Oryzias latipes: one gene and its partners. The protein of the gene in region 5 purifies or fractionates together with the protein of the main gene of each other region. This does not show direct contact. Links are inferred from orthologs where the notes say so. Each region holds a gene or a part of one and is shown on either strand. Other genes may lie near its edges. The genes, in order: ribosomal RNA processing protein 1 homolog A, mybbp1a, gtpbp4, gnl2, lyar and nucleophosmin.

Region 1 (2,650 bases), on a different chromosome or scaffold from region 5:
CCCTCCCCCTGTTCTCGTGTTCCCTCCCCCTGTTCTCGTGTTCCCTCCCCCTGTTCTCGTGTTCCCTCCCCCTGTTTTCGTGTTCGCTCCCCCTGTTCTCGTGTCCCTCCCCCTGTTCTCGTGTTCCCTCCCCCTGTTCTCGTGTCCCCTCCCCCTGTTCTCGTGTCCCCTCCCCCTGTTCTCGTGTTCCCTCTCCCCGTTCTCGTGTTCCCTCCCCCCGTTCTCGTGTTCCCTCCCCCTGTTCTCGTGTTCCCTCCCCCTGTTCTCGTGTTCCCTCCCCCTGTCGCCTCATTGTGTTGGTTTCCTATAGCTGGTTTAGGTTTCTGCTTTCAGGCAAAGACTCCAGTGAGGAAGAGGAGGAGGATCTTCTTCCTTTGGACCTGGAGTCCCAGCTTTCAGGTGATGAGGACATTGGACCAGTCTTACAGGTAAGGGGTGGGGTCTTGATGATTTGAGTGTTCTGGACAGGGACAGCTGTCAGGAGTTAGGTGGTCTGAACCTGGCCGGTCCAACAGCCATCAGAACGTACATCATCTAGCAGATCTGTCCTCCATGACGAGGAGACGGTTGCTGGTTGAAAACCAACAGATTTTTGTATCATTTGAAGAAGCTTTGGCTTCAGACCGTCCCATGGTTCTGGTACCAGATGTCATTAGAAACAAACCTCTCAGAACTTCTATTTGCTGCTGAGATGAACTTTTTTAAAGACTTTGTTTTCAGCGTTTAGGCGAAGAGGTCAAATGTCGTCTGTCTGCCACACAAACAGATCTCGATGATGAAGATGACCTCTAAAGCTTCTTCTGGTGTTTTTCAGTTCGATTACGCCGCTGTTGCAGACCGGCTCCTGGCGCTGGCGGGTCGGGGCAGCACGCCAGGTCAGAACCGACGAAAACTCTACAGAATCGTTAAAGTGTGAGTATCTTTTGGTGCCGTCTGTGTTTCTGTGCTCCTCTGGTCCATAAGTGTTTGAACACGACCAGAATCTGGTTCTGGCCAGGTTCTTGGGTGCTAGAATGTAGAACTTGGATGAGGAGCTCAGATCCCACATTACCTCCTGTCTGGCCCAAGGCTCCCCTGTCGGGTTCTGCTGGTCGTTGGACTGAGGTCCACCTCTGTGGCTGCTATCAGAACAGAAATGTTCTGGTTTTGTTGAGGAGAACTTGTAGAACTGAGTCCAAACGATCCTCTGTGCTTCTGCTTGTCTTCCATGTGCTGCTGCAGGCTGAAGGACCTCAGTGAAGGTAGAACCTCCTGGATTTACTGCGGTTCTCGTGGATCTTCAGGGTCTCACTCCGCTCCTCTGCTCAGGCGTGTTTCCTCAGGACGAGTATCCGGAGGAGGTCTCCACGGACGAAGACGACGACATGTTCGGCAGCAGGAAGAGGATGAAGAGGGCGGCTCGCCTGGGCCGTGGTGAGGAAGAGCCGGCAGCAGGACAGAAGAAGGCTTCCAAGTCAGGTGGGCGGTTCAGCCGCTGGGGTGGATCCAAACCTTCTGCCGGTTCTTGGAACTCACAGCTGTGGTTCCTGTCAAACAGAACCTTTGTCGGTTTGGTTCTGTTGACTTTTCTTTCAAACTGAAATCATCTTCTGATCTTTGTGGGGTTCTTGTAGCCGGGCCGGGTCGTCTCAGGCAGAACTTTTATTCTGCTTCCTTGTTTTCAGGAAGCGACGTCACCAAGCAGCAAAACCAGAACAATGAACCAGCAGAGGCAGCGGTGAAGAAGAAGAAGAAGAAGAAGAGGAAGAAGGAAGTTCTTGGAGATGAAGTGAACTCTGAAGACCAAACTGCAGCTGACGTGAAGATGGCAGAAGAGCGTTTGCAGAGAGCCTCGGATCCATCAGAGGGTCCAGAAGAAACCCCAGAGCTAAAGGCTGCAGAGGAAGAGCTCAGCACTGCCGTGCAGAAAGACCAACCAAAGAGGAAGAAGAGCACCAAAGCGGAGCTCCAAGAGCTTCAGGAGCTTCAGCAGACCTCGGCTCCAGCTGAAACAGAGAACCGCGGTTCCTTAATGAAGAAGAAGAGGAGGAGGAGGAGGAAAAGCAAGGTTCTGGGGGTCGAAGCAGAGGAAGCCTCAGAACCTCCCGAGTCCAAAGATGAAGCTCCTGCTGAGATCACAAACAAGGCCAAGAAGATGAAGGCCCCAGCTGGGCCTCCAGTCAACGGCTCGCCGGCTTCTGTCAAAGCGGAGGCTGAAGGCGGCGTGGAGTCAAGCGTGGTCGTTCCAAAGAGGAGAAAGGTCTCATCCATCAGGATGAAGAAAAGTCCAAGGGCCGAAGAAGCGGACCAGCAGAAGACCGGAGGTCCTGAAGTCTCTGCTGGAGCGTTACAGCAGCCAGAGGCCACAGGAGACGAGCAGAAGTCTGGTGCCGACGTGGACCCGAAACCCCTAGAGTCTCCAGAACCAGGACCCGTCTCACCTCTGAAGAAGAGGAAGAAGAGGAAACTGTCAGCAGCTGAGCAGGCCAGAGGAAATGCAGAAAGCCTGCAAGCTGGCGAAGAGAAAACACCTGAGGTTACCGTGGCAACAGCAGCAAAGAAGAAAAAGATGAACGGACCCCAGAGTCAGATCTCAGAGGAAACCCGTCTGACAACTGAGCTGCCATCGGTTGACTGCCAGGAGAAAGTGAAGAAGAGGAGGAGGAAGAAG
Region 2 (3,500 bases), on a different chromosome or scaffold from region 5:
CCTGACAGATCGACACTTTTATGTAAGTATGGATATGTGCTCTTCAGGAATCCACGAAATAAGCTGTGGGGTTCCCCAAGGGTCAATTTTAGGGCCAATACTTTTTAATTTGTATATGTTGCCTCTTGGGGAGGTCATCAGGAGACATGGCGTTGACTTTCACAGCTATGCTGACGATACACAGCTTTACATCGCCGTGTCTCCTGATGACCTGGAACCTGTCAACACTCTTTTAAACTGCATTTTAGATATAAAGTTGTGGATGGCAGAAAATTTCTTACAGCTCAACCAGGACAAAACTGAAGTTTTAATCATCGGTTCTGAAGACAAGAGAGAGATGATTTTACCACATCTTCATAATTTTAAACCTTCTCAATGTGTGAGAAACCTGGGCGTACTTTTTGACTCTGAGCTAAATTTTATCCCACACATTAAAAATGTCGTTAAGACAGGATTTTATCATCTCAAAAACATTGCCAGAGTCCGCCCGTTCCTCTCTCTTGCCAGCACAGAAGTGCTAATGCATGCTTTTATTTTCAGTCGTTTAGATTACTGTAATGCCCTGCTCTCTGGTTTACCCAAAAAGTCTCTTTCAAACTTACAACTTCTACAGAACTCAGCGGCACGAGTTCTGACGAGAACCAGAGGGCGGGAACACATTACACCGGTTTTAAAATCGCTGCATTGGCTCCCTGTGCGTTTCAGGATTGATTTTAAAATTCTTTTAATGGTTTATAAATGTTTTTATGGTCTTGGGCCTTCTTATTTAAATGATATTCTTTTAAAATATGAGCCCTCGCGGACCTTGAGGTCTTCCGGTACTGGCCTCTTAGTTGTTCCCAAGGTGAGGACCAAAACTTATGGTGAGGCTTCGTTCTGCCATCACGGTCCTCGCCTGTGGAACGGCCTTCCGGAGAGCCTCAGGGCCGCAGAGACAGTAGAGGTTTTTAAGAAGAGGCTCAAGACCCACCTTTTTAATTTAGCTTTTAGTTGATTTTAACTGCTAATTTATTCTATTAGTTTTAGTATAGGCTATTTTATTTATGTATTTATTTTAATTTTATGCATCTTATTTTCAATTTTATGTTTTTTCTTTTTTATGTTTTTAATTTTAGCATCTTATGATTTTAGCCCCAGTGTTTCTTGAGGGGATCTTTTCCTCCAGGGCTTGCCGGCTTGGTCAGCGGTTGTTGCTGCAGTTGTTGCCCTTGCTGGGGCGGCTGGGGTCTAATTTTACAGCTTTTGGCTGTGAGGGGGACCCCGGTGTTGTCCCGGTCTGGGTGGGCACTGTGGCGATGTTCCGGTGGCCGGGCTGGCTCCTGGTATGAAAGGATTCCCAGATACTGTTTCCTCACAGCAGAGCTAAGCCATACTTGTTTATTTATTTATTTATTTATTCTTTTACAGTTACATAGTCATATTTCATTGTACGTGGGAGCCATGGGTCATGTGGTTTAATGGAGGGGTGTGGGAAGGGTGAAGGGTGGGTTGGGGTTTTTATTGTAATGTTGTGTGTTTACTGTTTTTAGTGTTAAAGCGCTTCGAGCTGCACAAAGTGCATGAGAAGCGCTATTTTATAAATAAAGTTTGAAAGTTTGATCTATCAGCAGAGTTTCTTGTAGTCTGAACTTAAATGTCAAACATTTGTTCTCCTTTTTTTTCCCCTAAGCTTCATTCATTGATCACATTTGTATTTTGAATGGGATGAAGTTGATTAAAGGGCACAAACATGTTTTTCTATCAGGAACCAGCTCTGTAGGTCTAAAAGTTACTGCAGAACCGCAGGTGACAGGCAGGGGGAGCTGCATGACCTGCTGGAGAAGCTGATGACCAAATGCCAGAAACTGTCCGACTCCTCGCTGAGTCTCTACTACTTCAGGTAGAATCCTGTCTCCACTGTCATTTGGAAAGGTTTAAAAAAATAGGCCTGTGGTAAAAAGAGACAGAAAGTATAAATTGAAGTTAGAGTTAGACTCCATGTTGATCGTGTTCCTCTCCTTTCCTCAGTGCATGCCTGTATTTGGTGAAACTTCTGCGAGGAGCTCTTCCTGTCGAAGCCAAAGAGGCTCAGAAACCCACAGGACACAATGTAGGTTTATTATTTGACTTCCTTTCATGTTGTTGCCTTGCTCAGATCATTCGAGTAGGGATGGGTATCGTTAAGGTTTTAACGGTACTACTACTCTTATTGATACTGCTTTTTGATCCGGTATTTTACCGATACTCTTATAAAATAAATAAATAAATATTTTATTTCTGTTTTCATTTTAATCTAAAACAAAAGTAAATTAACTGCAGGTTTCGCTTTACCTCGGGGTCAAAACTAAGGCCGTTCATACCTGCTGAGTGTCTTGGGTGCTCAGCAGTCAGGTCTGTTCCTGGATTTTTATTGGGTCATGAAGTGTCCTGGATTACTTGGCCTCCTTTTGGTTCACCTGTCATCTTCACAGGAATCTTCTCCTTTACTTTAGTATTTGTTGTTGCTTTAAAACAAATCCATTTAGTATATTTTAAATGTTCATTTGTTGAGGTGGAAAGCCTTTAGTTCAAAAACATTTAGTAAGTAAGTAAAGCTTATTTCTTTAGCACTTTTCCCAGAAAGGATGGCATTGCAGGTCAAAACTACGACAAGAGGTAAAATGCATTAAAGCAGGCATGTCCAAAGTCCGGCCCATGAGCCAAATGCGACCCGCATTCAAATTTTCACCAACCCACTGACTCCCTTCACCAAATGAATACTATGCGGCCCACAGCGCTTTGGAAAATCTGGTTGTACAGTTTCTTGATTGTGATTGACTAAATTCTATATTATATATCTATATTATACTATATTATACAGATGATTTAATTATTTTCACCTCTCCAAATCGGCCCTCTTTGCAAAAAGATTGGACATCTTTGCATTAAAGAGAAAATCCCAAAATTGATGTTCGATTATTTTTTTATTTATTTACTTGTTACATCATGAAACCAATGCTAATAATCTGCAAAAACAATAAGCGTAGTTTTTCTGAACAACTTTTTGCAAAAAGAATCTGTTTAACAAAAGCTGTCTGACATACGCTTTTGGAAAATGGGTGAAGAAAAGACATTTTCAACGGAAAAGCTTTTATTCACAAATGAAGAAAAGAGAACAAAATGAAACCTTCTGAAAGTCTTGAAAGAACAATAATATAATCAATCCTATTATCAGAGTTTATGACTCAACAGTCAAACAGAATTTCTTTTGGATAAAACTAGATCCATTTGACAAAAATAGTAGCTTGGTTGTTATGGGGTCAGATCAGGATTGTATTAAAGAGAATGAAAAACCCAGACTGTAAATTTGAGAAGAATTATTTTATGAAAATGTAAAAAACCTTTTTAACCAGAAAGTATAGATTGTAGACTATAAAGAAATAAATGTTAAACCTAAAGGAAATTTTGCAGCCCTGCTAGGTGTGAAGAAACCCTGACATGTGTCCCTCTCTGTTTAGCTGCCGTTCATGGGCCAAGTGGAC
Region 3 (3,500 bases), on a different chromosome or scaffold from region 5:
TGTGCAAAGAGGCTCCTGAAACAATCCAGCACATAACTGCAGGGTGTAAGATGCTGGCAGGGAAAGCATACATGGAGCGCTACAATCAAGTGGCTGGAATAATATACAGGAACATGTGTGCAGAATATGAACTGGAAACCCCAAGGTCAAAATGGGAAACACCTCCGAAGGTGGTAGAGAATGAGATCAAAGATCCTGTGGGACTTCCAGATCCAGACTGATAGAACAGTAATGGCGAACCAACCAGACATTGTAGTGGTGGACAAAGAACAGAGGAAAGCCGTTGTGGTGGATGTGGCAGTGCCACGCAATGGGAACATCAGGAAGAAGGAACATGAGAAACTGGAGAAATACCAGGGACTCAGAGAAGAACTGGGGAAAGCCTGGAAAGTGAAGGAGACAGTGGTGCCTGTGGTAATTGGAGCACTCAGGGCAGTGACCCCTAAGCTGGAGGAGTGGCTACAACAGATACCTGGAAAGACCTCAGACCTCTTAGTCCAGAAAAGTGCAGTGCTAGGAACAGCTAAGATACTGTGCAGGACCCTCAAGCTCCCAGGCCTCTGGTAGAGGACCCAAGCTTGGAGGAGAAACCACCCGCGGAGGGTGAGAGGGACACCGATTACTCGCCACGGTTCTTACATCTTGGAACTCAAAATATTCCTACATTTAAAAAAATATTGAAGAAGTCCAAATATAAGAAAAGCATGCCAGAATGTGCAACTTTACATTCTTTCACAAAGTCTCCTCCTGCTATGAAACAACCTTCCACTGGGGACAAATGTAGCAGCATCTTTCTCCTGCCAAATTGTCGGGACAGCGAGTCACCAAACTTGGTCACAGAGACACGGAAGTACAGCTGAAAGCTGCGTGATTCAGACTCAGTTCCTGTAGTAGATGGTGTGGGTCAGAGTCTCTGAATGACTGTGGTCAGAAAACAAAGCCCTTTCTCATTTTTCTGCACACGTCTGCTTGTATTCCAGCTCCAGCTTCAGAGAGGTTGACACCAATCACATGTGCTGTGATTGGTCCACGTTCTACACATAGCTTATAAACTAGAAACAGTTGTGAAGCCAAATTGTAGCCAGGTTTTATGAAGGTTTGAAGCAACAGAGGAACTCCAGAGCTCTGAAACCCTCAAACCTCAAAGAACAGACGGTTCAAATGTGTTGTTGACCTGCTGTCATTAGTTTCATACAAGCTCTGGAGGCTGAATTATATATACAAGCTTTTGTTTAATTGTCTAGTTTGTGTTTTTTTTTCTTTTATATTGGCTGTATTGTTATGCACATACTAGAGCACTAAATGAAAAGAATGCCATCACCCGTGTATATATATGTTTGGCCCTTTACTGAGTGAGGTGATCAGGCTAAACTCTGACTCCCAGATTACAGATCTGAAGTGAATAAAAAACCTTCATTCGGGTTTTTAAAGTCTGCTTAAGCTGAAATTTGAAGCTGTCATATCTGACATCACTAAGCATTCGGATGCTTCTGTCCTGCAGCCTCTGATCATTGTTGCAAACAAATGTGACGTGAAGAAGATCAGCGAGCTGACTGAGGAGAACCAGGTGAGAACCGCAGAGACAAAAGAGAACATGAAAGAGAACGTGAAAGAGGGTTCCCGTGTTTCTGTGAGAACCTCAGCAGCACTCTCATATTCCTGCTCTTGCTATCAGAAAATCCTTGCAGACCTCACCACTGAGGGAATCCCCGTCATTGAGACCAGCACCCTGACCGAGGAGGGAGTCATGCAGGTTAAAACCGAGGTGAGAGCCAGAGACTTTCATGCCCCCCCCCGCACGCCTTGTTTCCTGCCTAATAAGACATCTCTCCGGTGTTCGTTCAGGCCTGTGACCAGCTCCTCGCCCACCGCGTCAACACCAAGATGAAGGGCAAGAAGGTCCACGACGTCCTGAACAGGCTGCACCTCGCCATGCCCGCCAAGAGGGACGAGAAGGTAAATCCCACAGGAGACGGACGCTGAGAGGCTGTAAGCTTCTGTGTCTGACGTCTGTCTCTGATGCCTGACTTTCAGGACAGACCCCCCTTCATCCCAGATGGAGCTTTGACCCGCAGGAGAGCCATGGAGGTGGACGCCCCCAAACGCAAACTGGTATGACTAATTTCACATGTGGAGCAGCAAGCGGATCCAGGCAGGATCAGAAAGTGATCTACAGGAAGATGAGGATCACTTTGAAATGGAATAGAAAACTACATGAGGATAGACGGCTTGAAATCTCATTTTAAATTCTTATGCTACATTTTTAGGGCGTAAAAGGATTTTTTTTTGTCTAAATCAAAATAATACATAAGGTTGACATAAGAAGATGGTAGTCGTGTGCTGCTACAGCAAAGGTGACTGACTTGTTTAAATGAAGACTCACTAAACCAAACTTCAGACTCACAGAGGATTTTTGTGTAAAGATGGTAAACTGCCTTTATTTACTTTTTTGTCTGCACACGACAGGAAAACTTTGAAGGGCAACAAATCCAAATTTTGGTGCAGATTTCTTTTTCTGGGCAAATATGATATAAAAAAAGGGTTTTTAGATTTGTGAGAAATGTTCATGAATGCAAATATTTGTAAAGAGGCAAAGTTTTGCTTTTGAGAGAAAATTCAAAATGAAGTCAGACCATAGACACCTCACCTCCAGCTCAATCGAAATGAAGCCGATTCAGTTGCCATTTTTCTGGGATACGGGCGCCACCATTTGGAGCCAGTTGACAGCGATTGGTCTGAGTCACGTTTCTAGGGCAACTACTGTCTCCAATCACCAGGAAGCTTAAACGTCTCAGGAGAAATCTTTCAAACGTTTCAGGTGGGGCCAGTGAAAGTGAAAAATTCTGCTCTGAGAATCTGAGGAGCTCGTTTACAAACCTGTTCAGAGGATTTTACTTTCAGAGAGAATTGGTCTTTAAACACAGTTTCAGGTTAAACTACAAAGCACTGATGAAGATCATCCTCACCGTTGACCTCTAACGTTTCCGTGTGACAGTTTAGATTCTGACATTCAGGTTTGCTCCGAGATTTCTCACCATCAATCTAAAATGTTGCAGGAGAGAGACCTGGAGCTGGAGCTGGGTGACGACTATATCCTGGACCTGCAGAGTGAGTTGGCTTCCCTTCTGATGGAGGAGTTGGTGAAGACAGTCGGCTCACGTCCTGGTGGTGTTTTCAGAATACTGGGATCTGATGAACGAGGACGAGAAGCAGGACAGGATTCCGGAGGTGTGGGAGGGACACAACATCGCGGACTACATCGATCCGGATATCATGAAGGTGAGTGTTAGGATTCTGTGGTGCTGTCAAAAAATAATCTATAGCAGACTTTCTGCAGCTTATTAAGCTGTTACGGTGGATGTCGACAGAAAACAGGCTGTTTGCTAAAGAATAAAATACTAATTTAGAATATTATGTATTATGTCTTTTTTTGCACCTGGATCTCCAGAAAATCAGAAAAACGTTGCTACAAAAGGTTTAAGAAACTGCTTATTTTGACG
Region 4 (4,113 bases), on a different chromosome or scaffold from region 5:
AAAAAAAGACTACTAGTTTACTGTTTTGCTACAGTTTTACAGTGCTAACATTGAGGGGTTTTCAACAGATGGTCACAAAGATGTGTTGCATTTGACAGACATTATGGGATCTGATGATTTACTAAAAAAATAAACACATGCAAATTCATGCAAGGAAGCAACTGAAGCAACACATTCGGGAAGGGCGGTGGGGCTTTAGATTGTCTGCTGCTGTTGTGGGGACTGTAAATAATACTTTAAAAAATTACAGCGTCTCTGAAGTTTAAAAAAATTAGAAACGACAACTGTTTCCTCGCTGCATGAATAACCTTAAAAAAAACATCTTATAAGATTAAATTTAACATTAAAAATTTATTCAAATTCATATTTTTTTAATAATTGGGTTTCATCTGCTTGAACTTTAACATAGTGACCCAAAACAGTTTCCTTCAAAAGGATTATAGATAAAGTGAAATCACCTTTCGTTTGTCAGAAAATGAACAGAGAGCATTCCTTTGCCTCCCAGCTGCATAAACTAAGTGCCGGATGGTCTCTTTCCAATTTTTTAAAAGATTTACCGACAACTTGTAACACTTTTTATTAAATAATTGTGGCCTCTGTGACTGGCTGTTTTGATCTAATAACTTCTAGGATATTTATTTTATAAATAGAATTTTACTTCTTTTTATGGTGTGGGGGAACATTTTACAGTTTAAACAACAGAAAGGTCATTGTGCAGTAATCGCTTCTATTGTCTTAAAAGTCAAAGTAAAACTTTTGAGAGAAAGGAAGTAAGATTAAAAATTAAAATTGAAATTCCTAAAGACACCATAGGAATTAAGTTAGCATTCTGCTTTTTTGTAAAATTCAGGTGTCACACATTTGTAAACTGCCTTTTATTACAGCTGCAGAAAAAAACTTCTTGAATTTAATACAGTCAAAAAACGGTGGGAGCCTGAACTGAGTAAATTGAGTATGCATAATCATCATAAAAACATAGCTAAAGATAAACTATTTAATCAAATGTGTTTAACTTTATTTTAACTGCGGCATGACCTATTATTATTAATTGACTCATAAAGCACAGAAAAATGTGATTTAAGTGAGTTTCATCTGCAAGATTTCACCTTACTGATGCCCGTTTAAACATTTTCATAATTTAGATGTGACTGTAAAAAATGTTGATGTTTTTTTTTTTGTTTTTTACAATTTATTAGTATTTTTTTTTACACTTTATAGAGCTGCGATCCTAAAAACACAAGAGCATCATTTGCACGATGGAAAATCCCAGGAGCTTTCTGATTGGCTAGATCGTCTGTCGCTCCTTCTATGACGCCACTTCCTTTTTCTTTACTCTAGCACGTGTAAATAGTACGTGTACAGAACATAGTGCCTAAATTTTCTTTTTTGGACATAGTCCTCAGGTTTTCCATTCGGTTTTCTTCTGGTAGGCTTTGCCAGGGAAGTTTTCAACATGGTGAAGCCGAAGTTTAAGGGGAAATGCTCGATTAATCCCTCATCTTCCAGCAGCAACCCCGGTGAGCTAAAGCACAGAGCTAGCACACGTTTGTTTACACTCGATGCTAACTACTATGGCTAACGAGTAAAGAAAACGTTTTGCCGGCTCAATTGCTAAGCTTAAGTGTCAACCAAGCTAAAGCAGACATACGTTTTACTTCTTTAATTTGAGAAAGCGGACTGTTTGTTGCTGCACTTAACCGAATAATTCTGTCAAGTTTTCTGACATTTTGAACTTGAAGTGAACTAACACAAAACAATCTTCTCTAGTAGTAAAATATATGTTGTTGTTAGGACAATAGATTAGACATGTTTGAAAAACCGATACAGGTTTCACTAGTGAAGGAATAACTTGACTACATCTTGTGCGTTTTACAGATCGGGCAAAGGGAGCTGGTGGGAACAACATGAGGGACCGAGCCACAATCAAGCGTCTGAATATGTACAGACAGAAACAAAGATGGTAATTGATTCTCAACAGGGATCTTATTTATCTTGCTTCTCTATAGATATTTATTGTAACTTTAATCATTGGTTTTGTTCACACTGATGCTGAGTTTCTGTTCGCAGTAATAAACATGGAAAAGTGATCAAACCCCTACAGTATCAATCTACAGTCGCTCCAGGAACTGTAGCCAGAGTTGAGCCAAACATCAAGTGGTTTAGTAAGTATCATCTTCATGCTGTATATGTGAATGTTGTGTGTCTTAAATTGTATCATAAAAAAATCATGGAAGCTATAAAAAAAGGCTTGAAATTTAGGCTGTAATGAGCATTTATTATTTAGCTTAAATAGCTGAAAAATAATAATAACCTGGTAGACAGAAGCAACAGTCTGGGCCAGGTGTGGGCAAACTGCAGCCTATTAAACTACTTAATCTGGCCCACCAAGATGGAATAAATTATATTGATAAATCCTTAAAGTTTAATTTTCAATTCTGGAGTGTCCCCATAAACGGTGCACTACAAATAGGTTGAGCTTTGTTTAGGTGTAGACAGTTGTTCTGCATTCATGTGGTGTTGGAAGGCTTGTTGTCTTTCTTACGGTCATGTGCGTTTTCTGTGTGGAGCGGATATTTTTCCGATCATTCCAACACCACATAAATGCAGCATTTCTCTAAGTTTGCTTTTTTTCACCTGAGGAACAGCCACCCATTGGTGTAATTGGCACTACAATAAAAACAAAAGCCACAGTTTCAAAAGAAAACTTCCACAATGTTCTGTCTTAAAACATGTATATTCATTTTCAATCTAAATTAAAACATGTTTTTGTCCAGATACCATGTTATTTCCTTCTTTAATGAGATGGATTACCAAAACACTCCATGCATCAAATTTTAGAACCTTTTGTGGCCCAGGAGTCAAAAGGTTTGCCCATCACTGGTCTCGGCAGAAATGCCCTGAAGGCAGAAACTTTCTCCAGCCCTTCCAGGATGACTCGGATGTGTTGCCAGGCCAGACACGTCCAGATTATTTCCCCAGGAAGGCATCCAGGAGGCAGAGGTTGTCCCAGAGCTGTCCCAGCCTGGCTTCTGTGGCTGTGGAGGAGCAGGGTCTCTACTCCGAGTTCCTTCTGTGTGGCTGAGCCCCTGACTCTTGCTTTAAAGAGGTGCCCAGTCCCCCTGCAGTGGAAGCCCATTCTGGCTGCATGTATCTGGGAATTTATTGTTTCCAAAGTTCATGACTATTGGTGAGGGCAGAAACATGAATTGACCAGTAAAATGAGAGTTTCGCCCATTTTGGCTCAGCGCCCCTCCTTATTCTGCCATTGGATTACTGCACCCGCTGCATCTATGACTCTCTCAATCTCACTCTCCATGCTTCCCTCATATTTAAGTGAGAGACCTCAACAAGAAAGGTACTTAAACTCTTGTAGTTGGAGCATGACCTTTCCATCAATCTGGAGAGGGTAAATGATCGTTTTACTAGTCAAAAACCACAGCGTCAGACTTTGAGGCGTGTGCTCTGCATGTTTCAAATTTAAATGGTAAATGGCGTATACTTATAAAGCGCTTTTCTACCTTCTTTCGAATAAGGCCCAAAGCGCTTTACAGTCACAGACCCGTTCACCCATGAACACACACGTTCACACACTGGTGGCGGCTCCGCTGCCGAACACTGGTGCCAACCTCCCACCAGAGGCAAGGTGGGATTCAGTGTCTTGCCCAAGGACACTTCAGCACATGGGCGTGCTAGTAGGGAATCAAACCTGCAATCTTACAATCATGGGAGCGACCGCCCTAGCACTGCACCATGGCCGCCCGAAATGAGAAATATTCTCCTTTTCCCTTGAAAATTGAGTTGTGTCAAACCAATATGTGCAGATAAATTACTGTTTTTACATTTTATTTTAGTCATTTATCATTAAATTCTGCAGTTCAGGGGTTGACCTGACGTCATTGTTTCACACGGGACATTGTGAGATTTTACCCTCTTTCAACTTGGACCTTCTGTTTGTTCCTCTCATCTTCTTTGGGCAACCAAGAGCCTAACTGATCTCCGTCCATTTATAGACTGTGTGAAGTCTGAGGAGCTGAAAGAAATGGAAGTGATAATAACTGGTTAATTATTGAATAGACTGCCATCAATACAGCCTTAAATTCTCACCTGTACAAC
Region 5 (4,052 bases):
TTAAGTCAGTCTAGAGTTAACTTACCCAGAGGAACAGCTTGATCTTCAGCCTCATTTGACATCTCAGCATCATTAGCCTCTGCTGCAACCTTAACTGGAAAAAAGGTTGAAAGAAAACAGGAACACAGGCCTTAAACACAAAAACCATCCTTTTTATCAAACAAACAAAAAAGTGTTGTAATAAGAAAAAAAAATGTTATTTACTCCTTTTCTTGGCAGATATCTCATTTTCATCACAGTTTTGCTCTTCATCTTCTGCTTCTTTGTGTTTTCTTTTTCCATCCTTTTTCCTTTTCCCTGTTTGGCTTTCTTTCTGCTCTTGTGTGACTTGTTCGTCATATAGTTTTGGAGCTTTTCCGTTGTTCTGCTGCCGGGCCTCTTTGCGTTCTCTTTTGTTCATCTTTTTGTTTTTCTTCACATCTTCGTGGCCAAACGGAGTTTGAGTTCCATTAGTGTTTGCTTGGACTTCAGCTTCTTTCTCCATGTGCTGCTGTGTATCTTCTGGAACCTGGGGTGCAAAAGATTACAGATAAGCAAAACAACAGTACAGTGAAAGAATGAACGGTATTACACAACACTTAATACATTTCCAGCCCTTAAATATCACATTAATATTATTTTCCATTGATTTCCATTAAAGCTTAGGCTCCCCAGCTAATAATTTAGTGTAATATTTACTTTAACAAACAAAACAGCTACTTACATCGACGGCAGCAGCAATTATGTTCCACACTTCCTCGTGTAGGCTTGTGTTGGATATTTTTAGACTGTTTTTCATCCAGTTCTGAAAGAAGAAAAAACATTAACAGTAATAAGTAAATACACATTTTAATAATCTTCCTGGTAAAAGCCTAAACCCTTCTTACAAGTTTTGGTAACACCAACCTGAAACTTGGCTTTCTTCCTGGGGACATTGTCGTATGCACTGACTTGCCTGAGCACATCTCTCAGCTTGGGACTGATGCTTGATTTGTTCAGGGCTTCATGGATTCTCTTCAGGAAAAGACACAAGTCAGGATCCAAAAGAAAAACAAATGTTCACATATAATCGAACTTGGGAAGATGTTTACCTGTAACCACTGCTGTTGTTTGACATCGCCTTTGTTTGCCTTGGCCTCGAAGCCTTTCCCCCCATACTTCTGGTCTTCACTGATACACTTAGTGTGATTTTTATAGTCGTCGTCCCTAGGTAATACGCAGAAAAGAGTCACATTGAATGCGTTACTTGGTCAGTCACAGAGCTCATTATGCGTTAGAATAGAGTATAAGAGAATAAATCTTTATTGATCCCACAAAAAGGAAATTTCCGTGTTACCATAGCTCTATTAAAAAACAGCAGATAGATAATAACTAATACTAAAAAATACACTTAAAAATGAAGAACAGTGATTATTCCCCAGTGTAGTGGCACTCTCTCTGTGTCTTTCTCTTGTTCCACCGTTTGACGTCTGTCCGGCAACTGTTATTTGAAACGCGAGTGAGACACGCAGAGAGAGTGCCACTACAATTTAGTCAAAAAACGATATCGCTTCCAACTTTCTCCGGCTTCAATCAACAATGAGTCTCACTAACAGCATCTCTGTGACGTAGGGTTTTTAATTGGAAGTTCAAACAATAATTATTTAAATTAACTATTAAATCAAAACAGTGCATTTGGCTCCAAAAATAACTATTAAATATAAACTGTGAATTTGGCTCCAACATCCAGTGTCTATGAGGTGTTGTAGAGTCTAGTAGCTAACAGAAAGAAAATTCTGTGACAAGGTGTTGAAGTCCATGGTTTCATGCTGAGGATGATGATGAAGAGGATTGTCCATGATGCATTTCAGTTTCTGTAACATCGTCCTGTGACCCTCCACAGTCACAGACTCTATAAGGGACATCCAGAATGGAGTCGTATCTCCATACCAGTTTGTTGATCCTCTTCCTATGTCAGTTAGTGCATCCGCCACCGCCCCAGGACTTCGCCACAATAAAAAAAAATCTTAAGAGTCCTGTAAACTCTGAAGAGACCCCAGTCTCCTCAGCCTCTCCTTCGATCTCCGGTCACTTCTCTGGTGGAATTTTGTTGTTGCCAAGCAACAACAGCTGATCGATGCACCCGTATCCCACTTCAGACCCAGAAGTGGTGGGAAATAGTCAAATTAGGGCTAGCAGGCACGTGACAACGCAAAAGAAGCCCAAGGCAATCAAAATCAGTTTAGAGAAAGAAACAAATCAAGTAAGCCTACAGGGCACTACGGTAACCTGCAGCCTAGTACCATGGCACCGGTTGGAGGAAAAACAAACTTGTTCCCGACGATATTTTGTAATGTTTAGAAATAACCCAATTGGTCTTACCAGAAATCTTTTCCGCAGTCAATGCAGGACAACACCTGACACCCACGGCAGATGTTCACGTGTTTATCGACCTGGGCTTTTTTCAGAGACTCGCCACACGCATTGCAGGTGAAGAACACCATTTTGATCAATTTTATCCACAGAAGCAACCTTTCTCTAAATTAATAAAGACAATATGTAGATTAAACCAGCAAAACGACAGAAAGTTAAACCACTTTAAACACCATCAATTAATGCACTGACTAGAGACCTGCCTACGGCAAGCTAACGTTTTTTCTAGTAAGTTATAAAAAACGCATGACAAAGAACAAAACCTTCATTGTCTTTAAAAATACCCAAAAATTAGAGCCCGTTAAATTAACCTCTTTAAAATTTTAATTTGAGCGTAAACGTGCGGGTTGAGTTTCTCCCGTCTAAACTTTTGAACAGACACGTGATTACATTCCTTGAAGCTACAGTCTTGATTCTCCGTATAGAAATTTTAACTAGACACCAGTTCCGCAGACCTTTTTTTTTCTTCCTGAAAACCTTTTTTTACATTTCATAACACAAAATAATTATACTACAAAGAGGTATATTTACGATTTCAACAGCACTTTAGAAATGTATATAGTCCCACTGTTTGGGGGTTTAGTATAAGATGTATTTCTTTCCCACGAGGGGTACAAAATAAGCGTTGTACCAGGAAGTTACGTAATGTTATTAAGCGCGAGTGACCCGTCATCCCAATAAAAGACGAAACACTTCACAATGATTTTGGGACCCCTCTGAATGGATATCGACAATAGTAAAATAATATATATAAATAAACACCTTTATAATTAAGACAGGTCAGCTGTTTATTTATTAGTTGTCATTGTAAATGGCTCGAATAGCCACGCTGTTAGCTTAGTAGCAGGTCAAATTTTTGCATGGACGGTCTTGTAGCGATTCTTGAGCTACATGACAGTTATTTTTGAAAAAATATATATATATATTTATACATGGACTGCGGTGTGTGGCTCACTACTAGAGTTCAACCCTTTAATCAACTTTTACTTTTGACTCGTAATCAACTTTTACTTTTGAGTCGTGTAAACTCAGGCTGTTGTTGTTGTTTTAAATGTGATTTTTGTGTGTTTCGCTTTGAAAAGGGGGGAAGCTGAGTGATCATAAATGGAGACCCTGTCCAGCCACAGCTCCTACCTCCTACAGCAGCTCCAGGAGCAAAGAATCCAAGGGCTGCTTTGTGACTGCATGCTGGTGGTTAAAGGAGTCTGTTTTAAAGCTCACAAAAACGTTCTGGCTGCTTTTAGTTCCTACTTTAGGTACTTTTATGCATTTATTTGACAACAGAATATCCACATGAGGTGTTGCTGTGAACCCTAAGAGATATGACCATTTTTTACATTTGTTTTTCAGGTCTTTGTTCCAAAATTCTCCCAGTCAGAAGAATGACGTCTTTAACTTGGTTATCCAAGATGTCAGTGGCATTGGCCAAATATTGGACTACATGTATACATCCCACCTGGACATTAACCAAGAGAATGTACAGGCACTTCTAGACATAGCACAGAACTTACAAGTTCCAAACGTTCAGAATTTGTGTAATGCTTTCCTCAAACCTTGCCCCCCACCCGTGGAAATGCATTCCTTCACTCTCCCAGGAATGCTAGGCTCAGAGCACGATTGCCTTCTGGGAAGCAGCCTGACTCACGATGTTAACCTGCACT
Region 6 (4,092 bases), on a different chromosome or scaffold from region 5:
ACTGAAAGCAGATTAGACAGCAGATGGTGTGATGAATGCAGACCCACAGAAGGGCAGATAAAAGAACCATCTTCAGAAAAACACTTACTGACGAGGTGCTGTCCGCTCAGATGGATCGGACCGGAACCCGCCTTCAGACGGAACACTGCTGGGGGTGTGATCGTGAACCCGCCGAGACACACCTACGAAATCAAGCATGCAAGGTCACACAAGCTGGCTTTAAAGATCCATATTTAAATGCGCCGAAACAAACAGAATGGGCTTCAGGAACTTAACCTACAACACATCAACGTCACAGATCTTTTCTTCAGAAAAAAAAAATTATTCCGAAATTTGAGATCTGTCAGTACAGTCCTCCATACAAAGGCTAACTGTAAAATATCCTTTCAGGTGAGTGAAGGAGAACTGTGTGTACTTACACTTGGAAGGGTGGAGGGTTTGAGTGACACCAGAGCTGCCTTGATTTTCTGCCCCTCTGCGTTCTGTCCTTCCACCTCCACCATGTTAAGCTCGTCTTTGGTGCTGGGGTCAACACAAGCCTGAAGGGGCAAACAAGACAAGGTCTGAGCTACGTTTTAAACATTCTTGTAGCATTCTTCTCACAATGAAGGACATATTTAAAGAAAACTGAGCTTAAACCTGAATTTTTGAGTCTATTTTAAGTCACGAATGAGGAGCAGATGAAAGAAATGTAATTCTATTTGTGGCGCTGGTGCTACAATGAACGTGCCAAACGTTCCCTGCTCCGGTCCATCCTGCGTCGACTTGTTGACTACTAGATCCACGTCTTCCTCGTCTGAGCTGATTTGTTGCAAACTGAACGGCTGAATAGCTTCAACATTGCTCACCATTTTATTGCACTGCTAATGTTGAGCTAGATTCACATAGCCCATTGTGGACAAGCAAGGAGAGACCACCAACACGTCCAAACCTATAGCTGGAAGAGGCTTGGTGCCAAATGTCAAAACGGTGCAAATCTCACAATTTGGGCACAAAACGATAACATTTTGGTTCGTTGCCAACACCCTTGCAATGATTGAAACTGATAACCACCATGCTAGGAGAGTGTTTCGTTATTTGAAAGACAAACGCAGGCACCATCAGGCCTGTCCTAGTGTCTGGGTTCATTTGGTAAACCAGCTACTCCGAGCCCCTGACTGCCTAGATTCCAGTAGAAGCGCGAAAAACATTTACATAGTTTTACTGAGTTAGGCTGCTCAAACATGAAGTTAGGGGGCGGAGGCACATTTTTCCTGGCGGCCTGCAGAAACTATGTCCTACAAGACCACTTTTTAATACTTTTTTTTGGCATAAATTGGCATTATCATGCTTAAAAGCCACTGGGAACACTTTGACAAAAGATCAAGTGGGACTTTTAATGCATTATAATTCAATACATTTAAATTCATTAAATAAAGCCTGAAATTTAAACGCAGTTTAAAATGATAAAAATCCGCTCATTTAAACCCACAAACAGGACTTCAAGCTAAAATCCAAAATATTTCCATTGATGTGCCTAAAAATTTATTCGACATGAGAGCTCAAACGCAAGAATATCACAGAACTGTAGTCTTCATTTCATTATAATTACCAGTTTGAGATCTAACTGATGCTCCAGCTCATCATCTTCAGGACTGAAGAGCACTTCCTTCCCAGCCTCCAATGTGCATCCTAAAAGACAAAAAACGGTTTTAAAATGAGAGAAAATATCAAACTCAACACTAGAGGGCGCTCTAAACGATGCACCACGTGGGAGAAAAAAGTATTTGATTTCCGCTTAACAGTTTTAAAGTTCCCATATTTTATCTTGGATATAATTTATTTAAAATAAAAACAAACTCTAGAGACTCTAAATAGTTTTTTTTAAGTGTTGGCAGGAGTAAATTTCAAATTTGTAATGACTTACTGGAAGATAAAAACTATTTTGACTTCATTTCTAAACAACTGTTTCACCATCTAAAATAAATCTTTATGAAAGAAAAAGAATCTTTTTTTTCTCTGCACCACGTGGCAAACGAAACAGATTACAATAAAAGGACTAAAACGTATAACATCACGAAATGAAGAACAAAAGAAAATATATGCAATTGTATTATAAACAAATGTGAATAAATATAAACGTAAGTATATTTCTAAAGGGAATTAATTAGGTCAGCTTTAAAGGGGGAGGGGCCTAACGGCACGCTGGAAACCACGTTGTCGAATTTTCTAGAAATTAGTTCATGGTCTTGCAATTTAATTTAAAGCTTTTTATCTATTTATTTTTTCACAACGAATATCTTATGCTAGGGTAAATTAAAAAGCAATATTAATATGAGCTGTATTTGTCAGAAACGTAGTTTTCATTTGGGGAGAAAAAAAGCACGGCGACCGCCATGTTGATATATTCAAGGAGCATGTGCGTAATAAGTCTGACGCCGTATTTCCAGTCATGATCCAGTCAATAAAACACATAAGTCATAAAATAAAAACAGACTACACATTTTATGTCCCTTTCTTTAACGTTACACATTCAATTTTATTCAAAAATGGACCGCGCGCGCCTCAGCGGCCGCTCCACCTCCTCGCACGAGCTATACACACACGTGTGTCCAACGTGCACGAAGAAGAAAAGCAAACCTACCAACTTCTCTTACCATATAAAAATGTCTGTGGTGCCAACGATTCTTCGTCCAAACCGTTCATTTTGCTGACTGACACGACCGCCGCTGATCTGCACGGGAACAATCACTGATCGTGGATGGAAGGACTGATGGGGCTGTTCTTCTACTCTGCTGAAACGGAAGTGATCCAGTGGGTGAGAGCGCCTCCTACAGCTCGGCGGAAGTTAGTGCTTAGGGGGTGTTAGAAATTCATATTGAAAGACAGATGCATTTAAAACAATCTAAAGCTAGTTTCTGATTTTATTGATTATTCAGACGTTATTACTGACGAAAGCTTCATTTTCTTCCCAGATTTTGTGAGGCGTTTGATACAGGGTTCATACGGTCATGAAAAACCTAGAAAAGTTTTGGAAATTGAAAATGCAATGTTTTAAGTTCTTGAACAGTTTGTGAAAAACGAAATCTTCTGGAAAGTTTTGGAAAAGTCATGGAATGTTAATATTTTTGATTAAAAAAACATTAATAAAAAGGTTTTACATGAGATTCGAATTTAAATTGTGACAAAAGTTCAACCTCACTTTCTGAACGGAAGTTCCATATAAGTTTTTCTGGAGCATAATTACACTGACCAAAAATATGAACGCAACACATTTGTTATTGCTCCCATTTTTTATGGTATGAACTAGAGGGCTGCATTGGGATCGGGTCCCGCCGGGTCCCGCGGGACCCAACCCAAATCTCGCGGGATTGGGCGGTTTGAATTGTGCTGCGGGCGGGAGCGGGCGGCAAAAAATAAACCCCGCGGGATCAGTGCTGCCATGAATATCTCATGAATATATATTAGCGGACTACGTTAGGCTGTGCGGCTGTTTGATTCTTATGTACTGAAGCTCCGTGAAGGCACCAGGTAGAGACGCCCAATGGCTTCTGTCATCTAACCTGTTGTTGGGGGTGCGCCCCGCCCCGCCTCTTACTAAGAGCGCGCTTCAGGCCGTCTGTCTGCGCGCGCACACACGCACACTTTTAACCGAACAGGATTTGTGAAAATATATTTAATAATTAAGTTGCACATTACACAAAAGAGGAATGCATCAAAAGATGAGTCTGGAGGAGGTCATGAATCTCTTTAGTAATAATATCAATACAAATACGTGTTTTGTTCCTGCGGGACGGGAGACGATACAAAATCAATGCATCTCTATTACTGTGCGGGACTAAATTCTATGAGTTTTGCGGGTGCGGGCGGGAGTGGACATACATATTGCGGGAGCGGGCGGGAGTGTAACGCATACGTTGCGGGAGCGGGCGGGATTGGTCAAAAATTCAGCGGGCGCGGGCGGGAGCGGGATGAAGAAAATAGTCCCGCGCAGGGCTCTAGTATGAACTAAAAGATGTGAAACATTTTCCACATACCCAAAATAACCAGTTCTCTGAAATTTTGTTCACAAATCTGTCTGAATCTGTGATAGTGAGCACTTCTCCTTTGCCA

The links.
Region 1: the proteins of lyar (region 5) and ribosomal RNA processing protein 1 homolog A purify together in Homo sapiens (co-immunoprecipitation; 3 studies listed by IntAct, with this or other methods). This does not show direct contact. The link is inferred for Oryzias latipes from reciprocal best matches to the Homo sapiens genes LYAR and RRP1B.
Region 2: the proteins of lyar (region 5) and mybbp1a purify together in Homo sapiens (affinity purification with mass spectrometry; 3 studies listed by BioGRID and IntAct, with this or other methods). This does not show direct contact. The link is inferred for Oryzias latipes from reciprocal best matches to the Homo sapiens genes LYAR and MYBBP1A.
Region 3: the proteins of lyar (region 5) and gtpbp4 purify together in Homo sapiens (co-immunoprecipitation; 3 studies listed by BioGRID and IntAct, with this or other methods). This does not show direct contact. The link is inferred for Oryzias latipes from reciprocal best matches to the Homo sapiens genes LYAR and GTPBP4.
Region 4: the proteins of lyar (region 5) and gnl2 purify together in Homo sapiens (affinity purification with mass spectrometry; 3 studies listed by BioGRID and IntAct, with this or other methods). This does not show direct contact. The link is inferred for Oryzias latipes from reciprocal best matches to the Homo sapiens genes LYAR and GNL2.
Region 6: the proteins of lyar (region 5) and nucleophosmin purify together in Homo sapiens (affinity purification with mass spectrometry; 3 studies listed by BioGRID and IntAct, with this or other methods). This does not show direct contact. The link is inferred for Oryzias latipes from reciprocal best matches to the Homo sapiens genes LYAR and NPM1.

What each region holds. Positions count from the first base shown.
Region 1 is NC_019879.2:31,069,617-31,072,266, reverse strand, and holds part of ribosomal RNA processing protein 1 homolog A, read left to right. Parts: intron 1-333; coding exon 334-428; intron 429-814; coding exon 815-912; intron 913-1,221; coding exon 1,222-1,241; intron 1,242-1,308; coding exon 1,309-1,458; intron 1,459-1,664; coding exon 1,665-2,650. UniProt on the Homo sapiens protein: Positively regulates DNA damage-induced apoptosis by acting as a transcriptional coactivator of proapoptotic target genes of the transcriptional activator E2F1.
Region 2 is NC_019872.2:24,964,417-24,967,916, reverse strand, and holds part of mybbp1a (myb-binding protein 1A), read left to right. Parts: intron 1-1,744; coding exon 1,745-1,879; intron 1,880-2,007; coding exon 2,008-2,089; intron 2,090-3,476; coding exon 3,477-3,500. UniProt on the Homo sapiens protein: May activate or repress transcription via interactions with sequence specific DNA-binding proteins. Repression may be mediated at least in part by histone deacetylase activity (HDAC activity).
Region 3 is NC_019875.2:8,407,236-8,410,735, forward strand, and holds part of gtpbp4 (nucleolar GTP-binding protein 1), read left to right. Parts: intron 1-1,501; coding exon 1,502-1,567; intron 1,568-1,675; coding exon 1,676-1,765; intron 1,766-1,845; coding exon 1,846-1,956; intron 1,957-2,034; coding exon 2,035-2,112; intron 2,113-3,056; coding exon 3,057-3,108; intron 3,109-3,178; coding exon 3,179-3,279; intron 3,280-3,500. UniProt on the Homo sapiens protein: Involved in the biogenesis of the 60S ribosomal subunit. Acts as a TP53 repressor, preventing TP53 stabilization and cell cycle arrest.
Region 4 is NC_019874.2:23,620,059-23,624,171, reverse strand, and holds the start of gnl2 (nucleolar GTP-binding protein 2), read left to right. Parts: upstream 1-1,313; 5' UTR 1,314-1,453; coding exon 1,454-1,517; intron 1,518-1,875; coding exon 1,876-1,960; intron 1,961-2,067; coding exon 2,068-2,162; intron 2,163-4,113. UniProt on the Homo sapiens protein: GTPase that associates with pre-60S ribosomal subunits in the nucleolus and is required for their nuclear export and maturation.
Region 5 is NC_019863.2:16,779,075-16,783,126, reverse strand, and holds the start of lyar (cell growth-regulating nucleolar protein), read right to left. Parts: upstream 2,801-4,052; 5' UTR 2,463-2,800; coding exon 2,341-2,462; intron 1,186-2,340; coding exon 1,071-1,185; intron 994-1,070; coding exon 886-993; intron 785-885; coding exon 704-784; intron 509-703; coding exon 205-508; intron 95-204; coding exon 26-94; intron 1-25. Other genes in the region: zbtb49 (zinc finger and BTB domain-containing protein 49), read left to right, coding at 3,496-3,647, 3,742-4,052. UniProt on the Homo sapiens protein: Plays a role in the maintenance of the appropriate processing of 47S/45S pre-rRNA to 32S/30S pre-rRNAs and their subsequent processing to produce 18S and 28S rRNAs. Also acts at the level of transcription regulation.
Region 6 is NC_019872.2:18,722,170-18,726,261, reverse strand, and holds the start of nucleophosmin, read right to left. Parts: upstream 2,801-4,092; 5' UTR 2,686-2,800; coding exon 2,637-2,685; intron 1,672-2,636; coding exon 1,592-1,671; intron 540-1,591; coding exon 420-539; intron 183-419; coding exon 89-182; intron 2-88; coding exon 1-1. UniProt on the Homo sapiens protein: Involved in diverse cellular processes such as ribosome biogenesis, centrosome duplication, protein chaperoning, histone assembly, cell proliferation, and regulation of tumor suppressors p53/TP53 and ARF.